Sus scrofa: one gene and its partner. The protein of the gene in region 1 purifies or fractionates together with the protein of each later gene. This does not show direct contact. Links are inferred from orthologs where the notes say so. Each region holds a gene or a part of one and is shown on either strand. Other genes may lie near its edges.

Evidence for each region.
Region 2: the proteins of FTSJ1 (region 1) and WDR6 purify together in Homo sapiens (affinity purification with mass spectrometry; 3 studies listed by BioGRID and IntAct, with this or other methods). This does not show direct contact. The link is inferred for Sus scrofa from reciprocal best matches to the Homo sapiens genes FTSJ1 and WDR6.

What each region holds. Positions count from the first base shown.
Region 1 is NC_010461.5:42,614,704-42,621,437, forward strand, and holds the end of FTSJ1 (putative tRNA (cytidine(32)/guanosine(34)-2'-O)-methyltransferase), read left to right. Parts: intron 1-388; coding exon 389-441; intron 442-530; coding exon 531-584; intron 585-674; coding exon 675-777; intron 778-882; coding exon 883-966; intron 967-1,604; coding exon 1,605-1,708; intron 1,709-1,795; coding exon 1,796-1,993; exon of another isoform or gene 1,994-2,208; coding exon 2,209-2,241; 3' UTR 2,242-2,250; intron 2,251-4,881; 3' UTR 4,882-5,495; downstream 5,496-6,734. UniProt on the Homo sapiens protein: Methylates the 2'-O-ribose of nucleotides at positions 32 and 34 of the tRNA anticodon loop of substrate tRNAs. Requisite for faithful cytoplasmic translation.
Region 2 is NC_010455.5:31,647,070-31,653,634, forward strand, and holds the end of WDR6 (WD repeat-containing protein 6), read left to right. Parts: coding exon 1-2,443; intron 2,444-2,546; coding exon 2,547-2,630; intron 2,631-2,719; coding exon 2,720-2,836; intron 2,837-2,929; coding exon 2,930-3,048; intron 3,049-3,139; coding exon 3,140-3,600; 3' UTR 3,601-3,954; coding exon of another isoform or gene 3,955-4,226; 3' UTR 4,227-4,298; downstream 4,299-6,565. Other genes in the region: DALRD3 (DALR anticodon-binding domain-containing protein 3), read right to left, coding at 4,014-4,226, 4,318-4,431, 4,508-4,690, 4,768-4,850, 4,960-5,021, 5,117-5,187, 5,550-5,678, 5,761-5,840 and 2 more. UniProt on the Homo sapiens protein: Together with methyltransferase FTSJ1, methylates the 2'-O-ribose of nucleotides at position 34 of the tRNA anticodon loop of substrate tRNAs. Required for the correct positioning of the substrate tRNA for methylation.

The DNA of each region.
Region 1 (6,734 bases):
CAAGGAGTTCCTGTCGTGGCTCGGTGGTTAACAAACCCGACTCATATCCATGAGGATGAGGGTTCAATCCCTGGCCTCGCTCCGTGGGTTAAGGATCCGGCATTGCCGTGAGTGGTGGTGTAGGCTGGCAGCTACAGCTCCAGTTTGGCCCCCTCTCCTGGGAACCTCCATGTGCCAGGGGCGTGGCCCTAAACGGACAAAAAGAGAGAGAATGAAAACAAGTGCCCGAAGGTTAGGAGCTCAGCATATGCATCTAGTTGGCAGACAGTCACCTGCATGCAGAACCTTAGCAATAAGAGGGCCTGGGAAGCGTTTTTAGGGCTCTAACCCCTGGGACAGGAAGATAGACCTGGACGCCCCCCGCTTAACACTGTTCCTCTTGCCCCAGTAACCGGCCTCCACGATGTTGATGAGTATATGCAGGCCCAGCTCCTCCTAGCCGTGAGTAACCCTGGCTGCCCCTGCCTCAGTCTGGCCCCCTCCTGGCTGGCTGGCTCCACCTCAGCCTTAGCCACCTGTCCTGCCCACAGGCTCTGAACATCGCCACACACGTCTTGAAGCCAGGGGGCTGCTTTGTGGCCAAGGTAAGCCTCAGGGAACCTGGTAGGGGATAGAGAGGGGTCCCCGAAGACCACCCTCGTGCCTCCATCTCTGCCTGCCTCCCCATCCCGCAGATCTTCCGAGGCCGGGATGTGACGCTGATCTACAGCCAGCTGCGTGTCTTCTTCTCCAGCGTGCTCTGTGCCAAGCCCAGGAGCAGCCGGAACTCCAGCATCGGTCAGTGGGGTGGAGGGACCGGGTGGGGGGAGGTGTGACACTCGGGGACGCATCCCACACCGGCTGGAGGTGGCAGGGGCCCCTCACTCCACCTTCTCCCCACAGAGGCTTTCGCTGTCTGTAAGGGTTATGACCCCCCTGCGGGTTTCCTGCCAGACCTGACCAAACCCCTGCTGGACCACTCTTACGGTGAGAGCCAGAGCCCTGGGCCTCATCCCTGGGGAGAGTCTGTGCCCTTAGGGAATTTATGTCCCAGGAGGGCCCTTAGCCCCACCCCCTGGTGGAAACCCTGCCCCTCGGGGGAATTCTGTCCCAAGAGGATCCTCAAGCCCAGTCCGCTCGTGGGAACTCTCGGACCTGGTGAGAATTCTGTCCCGGGAGGATCCTGAGTCCTGCCCCACTGGAGACTCCACCCAGCTAAGGCGATTCTAGCCCAGGAAGACTCTCTAGCCCAGGAAGACTCGGTCACACCCCCAAGTGTGGGAATTTTGTCCCATGAGGGCCTTCAGCCTGGCCCCCAGAGGGAAAAGGCACAGAGCTGCTCTCGTGACAAGTGCCCTTGAGTGAGACGAAGTCCAGGCAGCGCATGGTATGGAATTAAGTGCAGCGGGAGAAAAATGAGCTGGAGAGGGTGCTGTTTCCACATGATTGGAGGGCTTCCCTGAGGAGGTGATCAGAACCAAATGAAGGGTTTCTGGTGAAGGCGTGTAAGAGCAGCTGGTGGACACGTGGGAGAGGTCTCAGTAACTCATCCTGGCTACCGCTTGAGTCACGACCAGTCCCAGACACCCCAGCCCCATCCTGTCTCATCTCTCCCTGTTGGTCAGATCCAGATTTCAACCAATTGGATGGGCCTACCCGCACCATTGTGCCATTTGTGACCTGCGGGGACCTGAGCGCCTATGATTCGGACCGCAGCTACCCACTGGACGTAAGTGCCTGGCCAGCGGTGGGCGGTTGGAGGGCGCTGTCCTAGTTTCCCAGGTCCTCACCATCTCCGGGACTTGTGTCCTTGCAGCTAGAGGACGGCTCAGAGTACAAGTACACCCCACCCACGCAGCCCCCCATCTCACCACCGTACCAGGAGGCCTGCACATTGAAGAAGAAGGGGCAGCTAGCCAAGGAGACCCGCCCGCAGGACTGCTCCGTCAGCACAGCGGCCGTGTTGCCCCAGTCCCTGGCTGCCCCACAGTGCCACACCCTGCTGGCCTCTGAGGTCTGGAGACCCGGTCCCAGGGCCCTCCGTGCCTTTTCTCTGCACCCACAGCGACCCCCTCCTCATGTGCCTCTTTCTGCCCCAAATCACTGGTTTCTGGGGCAAAATTCTCTTCCCTGCCTCCCAATGACCGTAAAAATCAGTGGGTAAAAGCAGGCATAGTGAACAGAAGAGCTTAGCCAAGTATCTGAGTCCCTTTTCTTTTTCTTGGGTAGGTGGAAGACAGTGAAATGAATTGTTCGCCTTGACACGTTAAGGTAAACTTGCCTTTTTATCTGAGAGTTGGAGTAGCGGGCACCTTTAAGAAAAAAACCAAGGAAGATTTTTACCTTTGAAATTTTTATGCCAACTGATAGGATTTCGGCCAGCAAACCTTTCCTACAACACTCGATGTCATGGGCTAGGAATTGCTTTCAGCATCTGACACATCGAGGCGCTCAGTCAGCGTTTCTTGAGCACATGCTGTGCGCTGGGCATTGTTCAAAGTTTGAAGATAGAGCGGGAACAAAACAGGCAAACATCCCGGCCCTCAGAGCTTCTAGTTAGGGAAGGAGGTAAAGAGTAACACAGTGTGGCAGTTCCCGTTGTGGCTCAGTGGTTAATGAATTCGACTAAGAACCAAGAGATTGCGGGTTTGATCCCTGGCCTTGCTCAGTGGGTTAAGGATCTGGTGTTGCCGTGAGCTGTGGTGGAGGTCACAGGGGCGGCTCAGATCTGGTGTTGCTGTGGCTGTGGTGTAGGCCGGCAGCTACAGCTCAGATTCAACCCCTAGCCTGGGAACCTCCATGTGCCACGGGTGCGGCCCTAGAAAAGGCAAAAAAGACAAAAATAAATAAAAGAGTAACACCATGAATGCAGGGGCTTCCACCCACACTTAGAAATACTATCTGTCTGAACACGTGTGTGTGTGTATAGTGTGTAAAAATACTATTGGTTAGCAAAAGAAGGAGCAGGATAATGAGATGAAGAACTCTTCATCAAAGAGGGTGGCGGTTTGCATGTTGTTTTTTTTTAAGGGTCCGCACGCGTGGCATATGGAGGTTCCCAGGCTAGGGTTGAATCAGAGCTGTAGCTACTAGCCTACACCACAGCCACAGCAACGCCAGATCCTTAACCCACTGAGGGAAGCCAGGGATTGAATTCGCATCCTCATGGACCCTAGTCAGGTTTGTTAACCACAGAGCCACAAAGGGAACGCCTTAACCCACTGAGTGAGGCCAGGGATCGAACCTGCATCCTCGTGGATCCTAGTTGGATTCATTAACTGCTGAGCCATGAAGGGAACTCTGGCAGTTTGCAGTTTTTAAGTGAGTTGTCCTGGAAGGGCTCATGAGGTACTGTTTGAGCAGAGACCTGAAGGAGACGAGGGAGGGAGTCCGTGTGTTTAGGGGAAGAGCATTCCAGGGAGAGGCACTAGCAAATACAAAGGCCCTGGGGCGGAACTGTGCCTTGTATGTGGGGGCCTATCATCCTCAGGACACTGTGTTAGAGGCCGTCCTTTCTGGCAGTGGCTCTGCAGTCTTCCATTAAAATAAGTAAAAAAAAAAAAAAAAAGACACCTTTAAAAAAACGAAATGGCAACCGACGGTGGGAAGAGATTTTCTTTTCTTATGGCCACACTGCGGCATATAGAGGTTCCCAGGCATATAGAGGTTCCCAGGGTCGAATCATAGCTGCAGCTGCCAGCCTACACCACAGCCATAGCAACTCGCGATCCATACTGCGTCTCCCAGCTACACCACAGCTCGTGGCAATGCCAGATCCCCGACCCACGGAGAGAGACCAGGGATCGAACCTGCGTCCTCGTGGATACTAGGTTTCTTAACCCGCTGAGCCACAACAGGAACTCCCGGGAAAAGATATTTACAATCCCTATATACAGTGTCCTTGATGTTAAAAAAGCTTCTGTAGGAGTTCCCATTGTGTCTCAGCAGTAACAAACCCAACTAGCATCCATGAGGACGTGGGTTCAATCCCTGGCCCCACTCAGTGGGTCAAGGACCCGAGGTTGCCGTGCACTGCTGTGTAGATCACAAACGTGGCTGTGGTGTATGCCAGCAGCTGGGGCTCCAATTCAACCCCCTAGTCTGGGAATGTATATTGCAGGTGCAGCCCTAAAAAAAAAAGTTACAAATCGATAAGGGAAAGTAAATATGACAATATGGCCAGTAAGCACTTGAAAAGCTGCTCATCAGAGAAATATAAGCTAAAACTAAAAAGATTGACCATTCTAAGTATCTAGAAGGTCATGCAGCAGTTGGAACCCTAACATATACTCCAATGGCAGCATAAAATGGTGTTGCCAATTTTCCACTGGAAATTTGTTAGGCATTTTCTGCTAAAGCTGCATGTGTGCCAGTTCCTCTAAGAAATGAGTACTAAGGAGTTCCCTTCGTGGCTCAGTGGTTAACAAACCTGATTAGGATCCATGAGGTTGAGACTCGATCCCTGGCCTCGCTCAGTGGGTTAACGATCCGGCGTTACCGTGAGCTGTGGGGTAGGTTGCAGACGCGGCTTGGATCCTCAGGGCTGCAGCGTAGGCCAGCAGCTGTAGCTCCGGTTCAGCCCCTAGCCTGGGACTCTCCATATGCCATACTAGAATGTTCTTAGCCAGCATTATTGCAGCACCCCCAAACTAGATACAGCCCTGACATCCATCAGCTGTAGAAGGGATCATTAAATCCTGGTATATTCACAGTTGAGAACTAGACATCCCAAGATATGTTTTATGCCTTTTTGTGTGCGCATGTTATGGTTCACAATAAAAGTAGAGGGAAAAAAAAACTCCACGAAAAATGTCAGTAGCTGAGTAAACAATGATTATAGTAGAAGACAGTGGGGAAATATATTTTGTTTTAAAACTTCCTTTTACTTTGACCTTTCGTTAGCTGGCAATCTGATAAGGACTTGGAAGCTCTTCGCTGTCAGGAAAACCAAGAACTTGAGTTGATGAACTTGTTTTCAAGTAGCTCATCAACGGGTCCTGAACACACAAGCGCCGAGCAGGAACCTGCAACAACCAGCAGAAACACAGCGAGGAAAGAAACATCTCGGACTGTCCATCTGCGCCGCCGAGGGGGGTCTTGCCTCCTCTCTAAATCTTTCCAGCGGTGTCCTCCTGATTCTGTTCACACTTTACCCTGAAAGCAGGGATTCTTAACCTGATAGAAGTCAGGGCTATCTGTGAACTTGTTGCAGGGAAATAACTACGTTTTTATTGATTGAACAGAAATTTTAGCTCTATTCCTGAACCTCAATGCTGGCAGCGCATCACAACAGTGAAAGCAGTGCCTGCAACTTTCCCACCAATATGGGTCACGGTTACTTTTTTTTTTTTCTTTTTAACGTTATGTTACAGTCATTGTGGGTGTCTTATAAAACATTGTTCACATTGGTCACTACTTTGAGATAAGATCTTATAATTTGATATACTCCTTTTAAAAAGTTCATATATTACAGCATCCCAGTGTTGTTTCATTTTAATATAATAATATATTTTCCAGTTTTCTCGCGATATAATGGACATAGGATTGTGTGAGTTAAAAGTGTACATGATATGATGTACCTGTGTATTACAAAATGATTGCCACAAGTTTCGTTAGCATCCATCACCTCACAGCTACATTTGTGTGTGTGTGTGTGTGTGATGGGAACTTTTTAAGATTTGCTCTCTTGGAGTTCCCACTGTGGTGCAGAAGGTTAGGGATCCTGTGTGGTCGCAGCTGTGGCTCGGATTCAATCCCTGGCCCAGGAACTTCCATATGCCATGGGTTTGGCCGAAAAAAGAAAAGGCTTACTCTCTAAGCAACTTTCAAATATACCATACGGTATTGATAAGTATAGTCCCTGGGCTGCACATTTCATCCTATAACTGGAAGTTTGTACCTCTTGACCACCTTCACCCATACAGTGTTTGTGTTTTTCTGACTTACTTCATTTAGCGTAAGGCCCTCAAGGTCCATCCATGTAGTCCCAAATGGCAGGGTTTCCTTTTTTGTGGCTGAATAATATTCCATCGTAATGCATATACCACATTTTCTTTTTTTTTTTTTTCTTTTTTTGTCTTTTTGCCATTTTCTTGGGCCATTCTCATGGCATATGGAGATTCCCAGGCTAGGGGCCAAATTGGAGCCGTAGCCACCAGCCTACGCCAGAGCCACAGCCACACGGGATCCAAGCTGCGTTTGTGACCCACACGACAGCTCACAGCAATGCCGGATCCTTAACCCACTGAGCAAGGCCAGGGATCGAACCTGCAACCGCATGGTTTCTAGTCGGATTCGTTAACCACTGAGCCATGACGGGAACTCCCACGTTTTGTTTATCCACTCGTCTGTTGACAGACACCCAGGTTGTTTCCCTGTCTTGGCTGTTGTGAATGATGCTGTGATGTACATGAGGGTACAGCTAGTTCTTCAAGATAATGATTTCATCTCCTATGGTTATGTACCCAGAAGTATATATTTGGGATCCAGGAACTGCCGGATGATAATGGTAGTTGTATTAATTTCCTGAGGAATCTCCATTCTGTTGAGTTGGTTTCCATAATAATAATTGCGCACACACACGAATGCACATTCTGTGAAGAGTCCCCAGATTTAACCAGATGCCAAACTTGTTCAGCATGACCCTTGAACAAGTTTTTTATGTTAAGAATCCCCTTTCAAAGGAGTGTCAGAAAGCCTGCCATGGAGCTCTGTCATGCCTCGGCAGTTAACAAACCTGGCTAGCATCCATGAGG
Region 2 (6,565 bases), on another chromosome or scaffold:
GCGGACATCTGCGGATGATGAAACGAGTGCAGAACCTGCTTGGCCACTATCTTATCCATGGGTTCCGGGTGCGACCAGAACCCAACGGAGACCTTGACTCGGAGGCCATGGTGGCAGTGTTTGGGAGCAAGGGACTCCGAATTGTGAAAATTAGCTGGGGACAGGGCCGCTTCCGGGAGCTCTGGCGCTCTGGCTTGTGGAACTTGTCTGACTGGATCTGGGATGCACGTTGGCTCGAGGGGAACATGGCCTTGGCCCTGGGCCACAACTCAGTAGTGCTGTACGACCCTGTGGTAGGGTGCATCCTGCAGGACGTGCCCTGCACAGACAGGTGCACCCTCTCCTCAGCCTGTCTGATTGGAGACACCTGGAAGGAGCTGACCATAGTGGCGGGTGCCGTTTCCAACCAGCTCCTGGTCTGGTACCCAGCAGCCGCTCTGATAGACAACAAGCCTGTAGCCCCCGACCGACGGGTCAGTGGGCATGTGGGTGTCATCTTCAGCATGTCATACCTGGAAAGCAAGGGCTTGTTGGCCACGGCTTCAGAAGACCGAAGTGTTCGCATCTGGAAGGTGGGTGACCTGCGGGTGCCTGGGGGTCGAGTGCAGAATATTGGGCACTGCTTTGGGCACAGTGCCCGTGTTTGGCAGGTCAAGCTCCTGGAGAATTACCTTATCAGCGCAGGGGAAGACTGTGTCTGCTTGGTATGGAGCCATGAAGGCGAAATCCTCCAGGCCTTTCGGGGCCACCAGGGCCGTGGGATCCGGGCCATAGCTGCCCATGAGAGGCAGGCCTGGGTGATCACTGGGGGTGATGATTCAGGCATTCGGCTCTGGCACCTGGTAGGGCGTGGGCACCCGGGTTCGGGGGTCTCAGCTCTTTGCTTCAAGTCCCATAGCAGGCCAGGTGCCCTCAAGGCTGTGACACTGGCTGGCTCGTGGCGAGTACTGGCAGTGACTGATACAGGGGCCCTGTACCTGTATGACCTCGAGGTCAAGTGCTGGGAACAGCTGCTGGAGGACAAGCGCTTCCAGTCCTACTGCCTTCTGGAGGCAGCTCCTGGTCCTGAGGGCTTTGGACTGTGTGCTATGGCCAACGGGGAGGGTCGTGTCAAGGTTGTCCCCATCAACACTCCAACTGCAGCTGTGGATCTGACCCTATTCCAAGGGAAGGTGCACAGCCTGAGCTGGGCCCTCCGTGGCTATGAGGAGCTCCTGTTGCTGGCATCAGGCCCTGGTGGTGTAGTGGCTTGCCTAGAGATCTCTGCTGCGCCCTCTGGCAAGGCCATCTTTGTCAAGGAACGTTGCCGGTACCTGCTACCTCCGAGCAAGCAGAGATGGCACACATGCAGTGCGTTCCTACCCCCAGGCGACTTCCTGGTGTGTGGTGATCGTCGGGGCTCTGTGTTGCTGTTCCCCTCCCGACCAGATCTGCTCAAGGATCTCGGGGTTGGAGGCAAGGCTGGAGTTGGTGCTGGAGCACTTGGAGCAGGTGGTAACAATGAGGGTGGTGAGAACGCCTTGGCTGAGTGGGGCCCTGTGTCCTCCCTCCCTTCTCTGCATGGGAAGCAGGGTGTGACCTCAGTCACCTGCCATGGTGGCTACGTGTACACAACAGGGCGTGATGGTGCCTACTACCAGCTCTTTGTGCGAGGTGGCCAACTCCAGCCTGTCCTAAGGCAGAAGTCCTGTCGAGGCATGAACTGGGTGGCTGGGCTCCGTATGGTGACTGATGGGAGCATGGTCATCCTGGGTTTCCACGCCAATGAGTTTGTGGTGTGGAGCCCCCGGTCTCATGAGAAGCTGCATATCATCAACTGTGGTGGAGGGCATCGCTCCTGGGCCTTCTCTGATACCGAGTCTGCTATGGCCTTCGCCTACCTCAAGGATGGGGATGTCATGCTGTACCGAGCTTTGGGTGGCTGCACCCGGCCACATGTGATTCTCCGGGAGAGCCTGCATGGCCGTGAGATCACTTGTGTAAAGCGTGTGGGTACCATCACCCTGGGGCCTGAATTCGGGGTGCCCAGCTTCATTCAGCCTGATTATCTAGAGCCTGGAAGTGAGGGGCCTGGCCTAATTGACATCGTGATCACGTGCAGTGAAGACACTACCGTCTGTGTCCTGGCACTCCCCACAGCCACAGGCTCAGCCCATGCGCTTACAGCTGTTTGTAACCATATCTCCTCGGTACGTGCAGTGGCTGTCTGGGGCACTGGCACCCCAGGTGGCCCACAGGATCCTCAGCCTGGCCTGACTGCCCATGTGGTGTCTGCGGGGGGCCGGGCTGAGATGCACTGCTTCACCCTCATGGTCACCCCAGACCCCAGCACCCCAAGTCACCTTGCCTGTCATGTCATGCACCTTTCATCCCACCGGCTGGATGAGTATTGGGACCGGCAGCGAAATCGGCACCGGATGATCAAGGTGGATCCAGAGACAAGGTGATGTGCACTGCAGGACAGGAGCATGGGGGTGGGGCATGTGGGGCACGCCCTGTGTGACTGCTCCTAGGCTCCACCTGACTGCTGTGTGTTGTCTCTGCAGGTACATGTCTCTAGCTGTATGTGAGTTTGACCGGCCTGGCCTTGGCCCCCTTGTGGCTGCAGCCTGTAGTGATGGGGCAGTGAGGTGAGAGCATGGGATCCAGGGGACTGGGAAACAAAGAATATATAGGTGCCCAGAATGGGGTCTTAGTTGTCTCTCCCCCTCCGTCCCAGGCTCTTTCTCTTGCAGGATTCTGGACAACGGCTGCAGCTCCTGGCTGAAACCTTCCACCACAAGCGGTGTGTCCTCAAGGTCCACTCCTTCACACATGAGGCACCCAATCAGCGGCGGTAAGAAGGGCTGCATGTGGTCCTGGGTGGGTTGGGTGGATCTCACTGCTTTCCATCCCTGTCACTGACCCAGCCTCCCTTTCCGGCTGCCAGGAGGCTGTTCCTATGCAGTGCAGCCACCGACGGCAGCTTGGCCTTCTGGGATCTTACCACCGTGCTAGACCATGGCTCCACTGCCCTGGAGCCTCCAGTGGAACCTGGGCTTCCCTACCGTGAGTAGCTGGAGTGCAGCTGTGGCTGTCCCTGCTCCTTCCACTCACCTTTGTGGCAGGCTGGATCCTGACAACTATCTTCTTCCTCCAGGGCTGGGCACCCCCTGCCTGACTCTCCAGGCTCACAGCTGTGGTGTCAACAGCCTACACACCTTGCCCACACCAGCGGGCCATCTCGTGGCCAGTGGCAGTGAGGATGGCTCCCTCCATGTCTTTGTGCTTGCCGTGGAGGTACCAGAGCTGGAAGAGGCTGTGGGGGGTGCTGAGCAGCTGCCTCAGCTGCAAGTGCTGGAGGAATACTCTGTCCCCTGTGCACATGCTGCCCATGTGACAGGCCTCAAGATCTTAAGCCCAAGCCTCATGGTCTCAGCCTCCATCGACCAACGGTTGACCTTCTGGCGTCTGGGGCATGGGGAACCCACCTTTATGAACAGTACAGTGTACCATGTACCAGATGTGGCCGACATGGACTGTTGGCCTGTGAGCCCCGAGTTTGGCCATCGCTGTGCTCTTGGGGGTCAGGGTCTTGAGGTTTACAACTGGTATGACTGACATGTCCCGTGGTGGCCGGCGTGCTGGGCATGGGGCCTGCTCACAGACAGAGTGGAGCATGACCAATTGTCTGTGCCCATGCCCAGTGTGCCTAGAGGGGAGGAGGCGGCAGCCGTGGGTTCCAGACCTCAGAGCAGGAGCTGAAGGTGAGTAGAATGCTGTCAGGGCAGAGTAAGAAATGTGCCCCACTCCACACAATAGGATAAAACGTCATAACAGAAGCAATTTATTTTGGCTCCAGGTAGCTTAACAAAATCTGTGGGTGTGTTGTGTTTTTGCTTTTTTTTTTTTTTTGATACTTGTTTTTTTCAGTTGATTTTGTGGACATTCCCAGACATTGGGGCCTCTGTGGCCTTAGATGTGGCTCAGTGGAGGGAGACCCAGCATGGCCAGCCCAGTGTGGAGCACATCACTCACAGCCTGCAGAAGCTGTAGACGGGCAAACATTTGACCAAACAGGTGTGGTCGAGGCTCCTGGAGGAAAGAAAGGGCCTGCTGGTCTCATCCTTTGCTTCCCCCGCAACCCTCCCACATACCCCGCTTTGCTGTGCACTTACCCCTAGGATGTGTACCCGGTTATAGTATGAACTGAAATCCATGCTGAGCTGTACCAGGAACTTGCAAACCTAAAGACAGAGACCAAGTCACTGGCCTGTCTTTGTGCCCCTAACCAGAATAAACAGAATGTGTGGTGTGTCCTTGTCTTCTCTGCCTCACCATCTCCGTGCGTGCAGTGATGTGGAGCCCCGGGGCTGTGCAGGCCAGCATTCCTGTGTGGCTCAGCAGGTCTGGGAAGGGGAGGATGCTGTTGAAGAGCAGCAACCACTCACCCTGTGGGGGAGAAGGGTGCTGGGAGGGAAAGGCCAAGCTTCCTGCCTTGTGCTGACCACCCAGCAGGGGTACTCACCTCATCATGCAACAGGGAGAAGTCCAGACTGCTCACAGGTGGGAAAGTGGGGTACAGACCTTTTTCCACGCTGCACCTGTAACCCTCAAAGAGTGTGGCAAGACGTGCGCAGTTGTACATGACAAAGGTGCCACTTTTGGTGCCCTTTGTGGAAATGCTGTTGTCAGCCAGGGCCAGGAGAAGCTGAGGAATGAAGGCACAGCTACAGCAGGATAACTGCACACACTGTCCAGCCAGCCCTGGGGGGCACCTAGGCTCACCTGATTCTGTGGGGCTGTGCTGAGCATCTCAAACTTAATGGTTGCCACACAGAGAACCCTGAAGATTTCTGTCCAGGCTGGGTCTGAGGAAGTATGAGATCAGTCAGTCAGGCTCTAGAGGCAAGGAACAAGGGGTAGGGATGCAGGTGACCTGCCCCTACCCACAGCACAGCAAGAGGCTCCCAAACACACCTTGTGTTAGGTCCTTGCCATACTTCAGTGCTGAGGCCTTGCACACCTGCATATGCCGGAGCCTGCGTTTTTGAAAAGGGTGAGCAGAGGGCCAGTGGGCAGAGTCCTCCCACCTCAACTACCTTGGCTTGCTGGCCTGCCTTCCAGCCTCACTCACTCGTAGTACTCGGGAGCAGTCAGGGTGCCTGGCGCACCAGCTACTTTCACTGGGCCGCAGACCAGGTGCTTCTGTCAGGAAGATAGCAGGGGCTCAGCCACTTGGCAGTAAGATACTCTACAGCAAAAGACCCCTCAATGAACCTAAATATGTAGTTTCCTGAATGACCCCAGCTTTGTGCCTCAGAGCCACTGTCTCAAACTCAGCCCCTCAAGACACAATCCAGCCTCTTCAACCTATCTTCATCAATATTCTCTGGGGTAGGCCTCCAGACTGCACCTTCTCCCAGCATCTGCTGCACACAACCACTCACTCACCAAGTCTGTCATCTCCCCAAGTCAATCAAGTGTCACCTTCTGGAACCATCAACTAACAGGACCCTTTCTAGGACCTTCTAAGGTTGGTGTGGGGAGCTCCACCATAACTGACCCACCTGTCTGAGAGGAGCCTGGTCATCCAACTTCCACCAAAGCAGGTCCAACTTTTGTTGCTGGAACTCCTCCTCACAACTCACCACGTGTACAACCACACAACCATCTGCACCAGTGTCTGAGACTGCAGCCTAGAGGAAAGGACAATCACTGCTTGGGACACAGGACATTTAGTTTGCCAGAGATTCACAGGGTGGGCATTCAGTCACTAACCAGGCCTAGAGAGCTGTGTTCCGGCCAATGCTGCACAGCCTCCTGCAGCTCAGCCAGCAGAGAAAGCAGCTCCTCCGTCACTGCAAAGAACACACAGCCCTGAGTTTGGTGGGAAATGCGCGGCCCACCAGCTTACTGGCCCTGCTAGACTCTGGGTCCTACCTAGGCAGCTGTCCAGGTTGGGGTCATAGCCAGCTCTGCGGCCCCGTTCGTCCACCAGCTCCTTCAGGCACACTTGGCCCAGGGCGCCTGGGGGTAGGGCTCCCGAATCATGGGCAGGGGTGAGCTCTGCAAGTGCACGGCTCCTCAGGGCTTCGGTCACAGTCCTGGCTCTCCCCGAGGCCGCGGGCCATTCCACCCGCAGCTGCTGCAAGAAGGTCAGCATGTGCGGGTCCCGCACGGCGGGCACTAGGCGCACACTCACCCTGCGAAGCGAAGTAGTAGTCTCAGCCCAAGCGCCAGGCTCACCTCGCCGGGATTTCCCATCCGCAGCAGTCCGCCCCCGTTCACCTGTGAGCGTGAAGAGCTCGCGCCAGGTGGTCGGCCACGAGCACGGCACGCAGCTGGCTCAGGCGGAGGGCGCAGGGGCGGCCGCGCAGCGCGGGGCAGTGCAGGACAACGCGAGGTTCCAGAGCTGCATGCGCGGCAGGAGCCACATAGGTGGCCACGGCGCCGAGGACGCGCTCGAAAACTGCAGACCGCTGCAGCTGGAGTGCCAGCCCCGCGGGGGTCGGCGCGCAGCGCAGCACCGGGGCCACGCCGGGACCCTGCAGGCCGGCAATGGCGTGAATGACCTGCTTGGGCA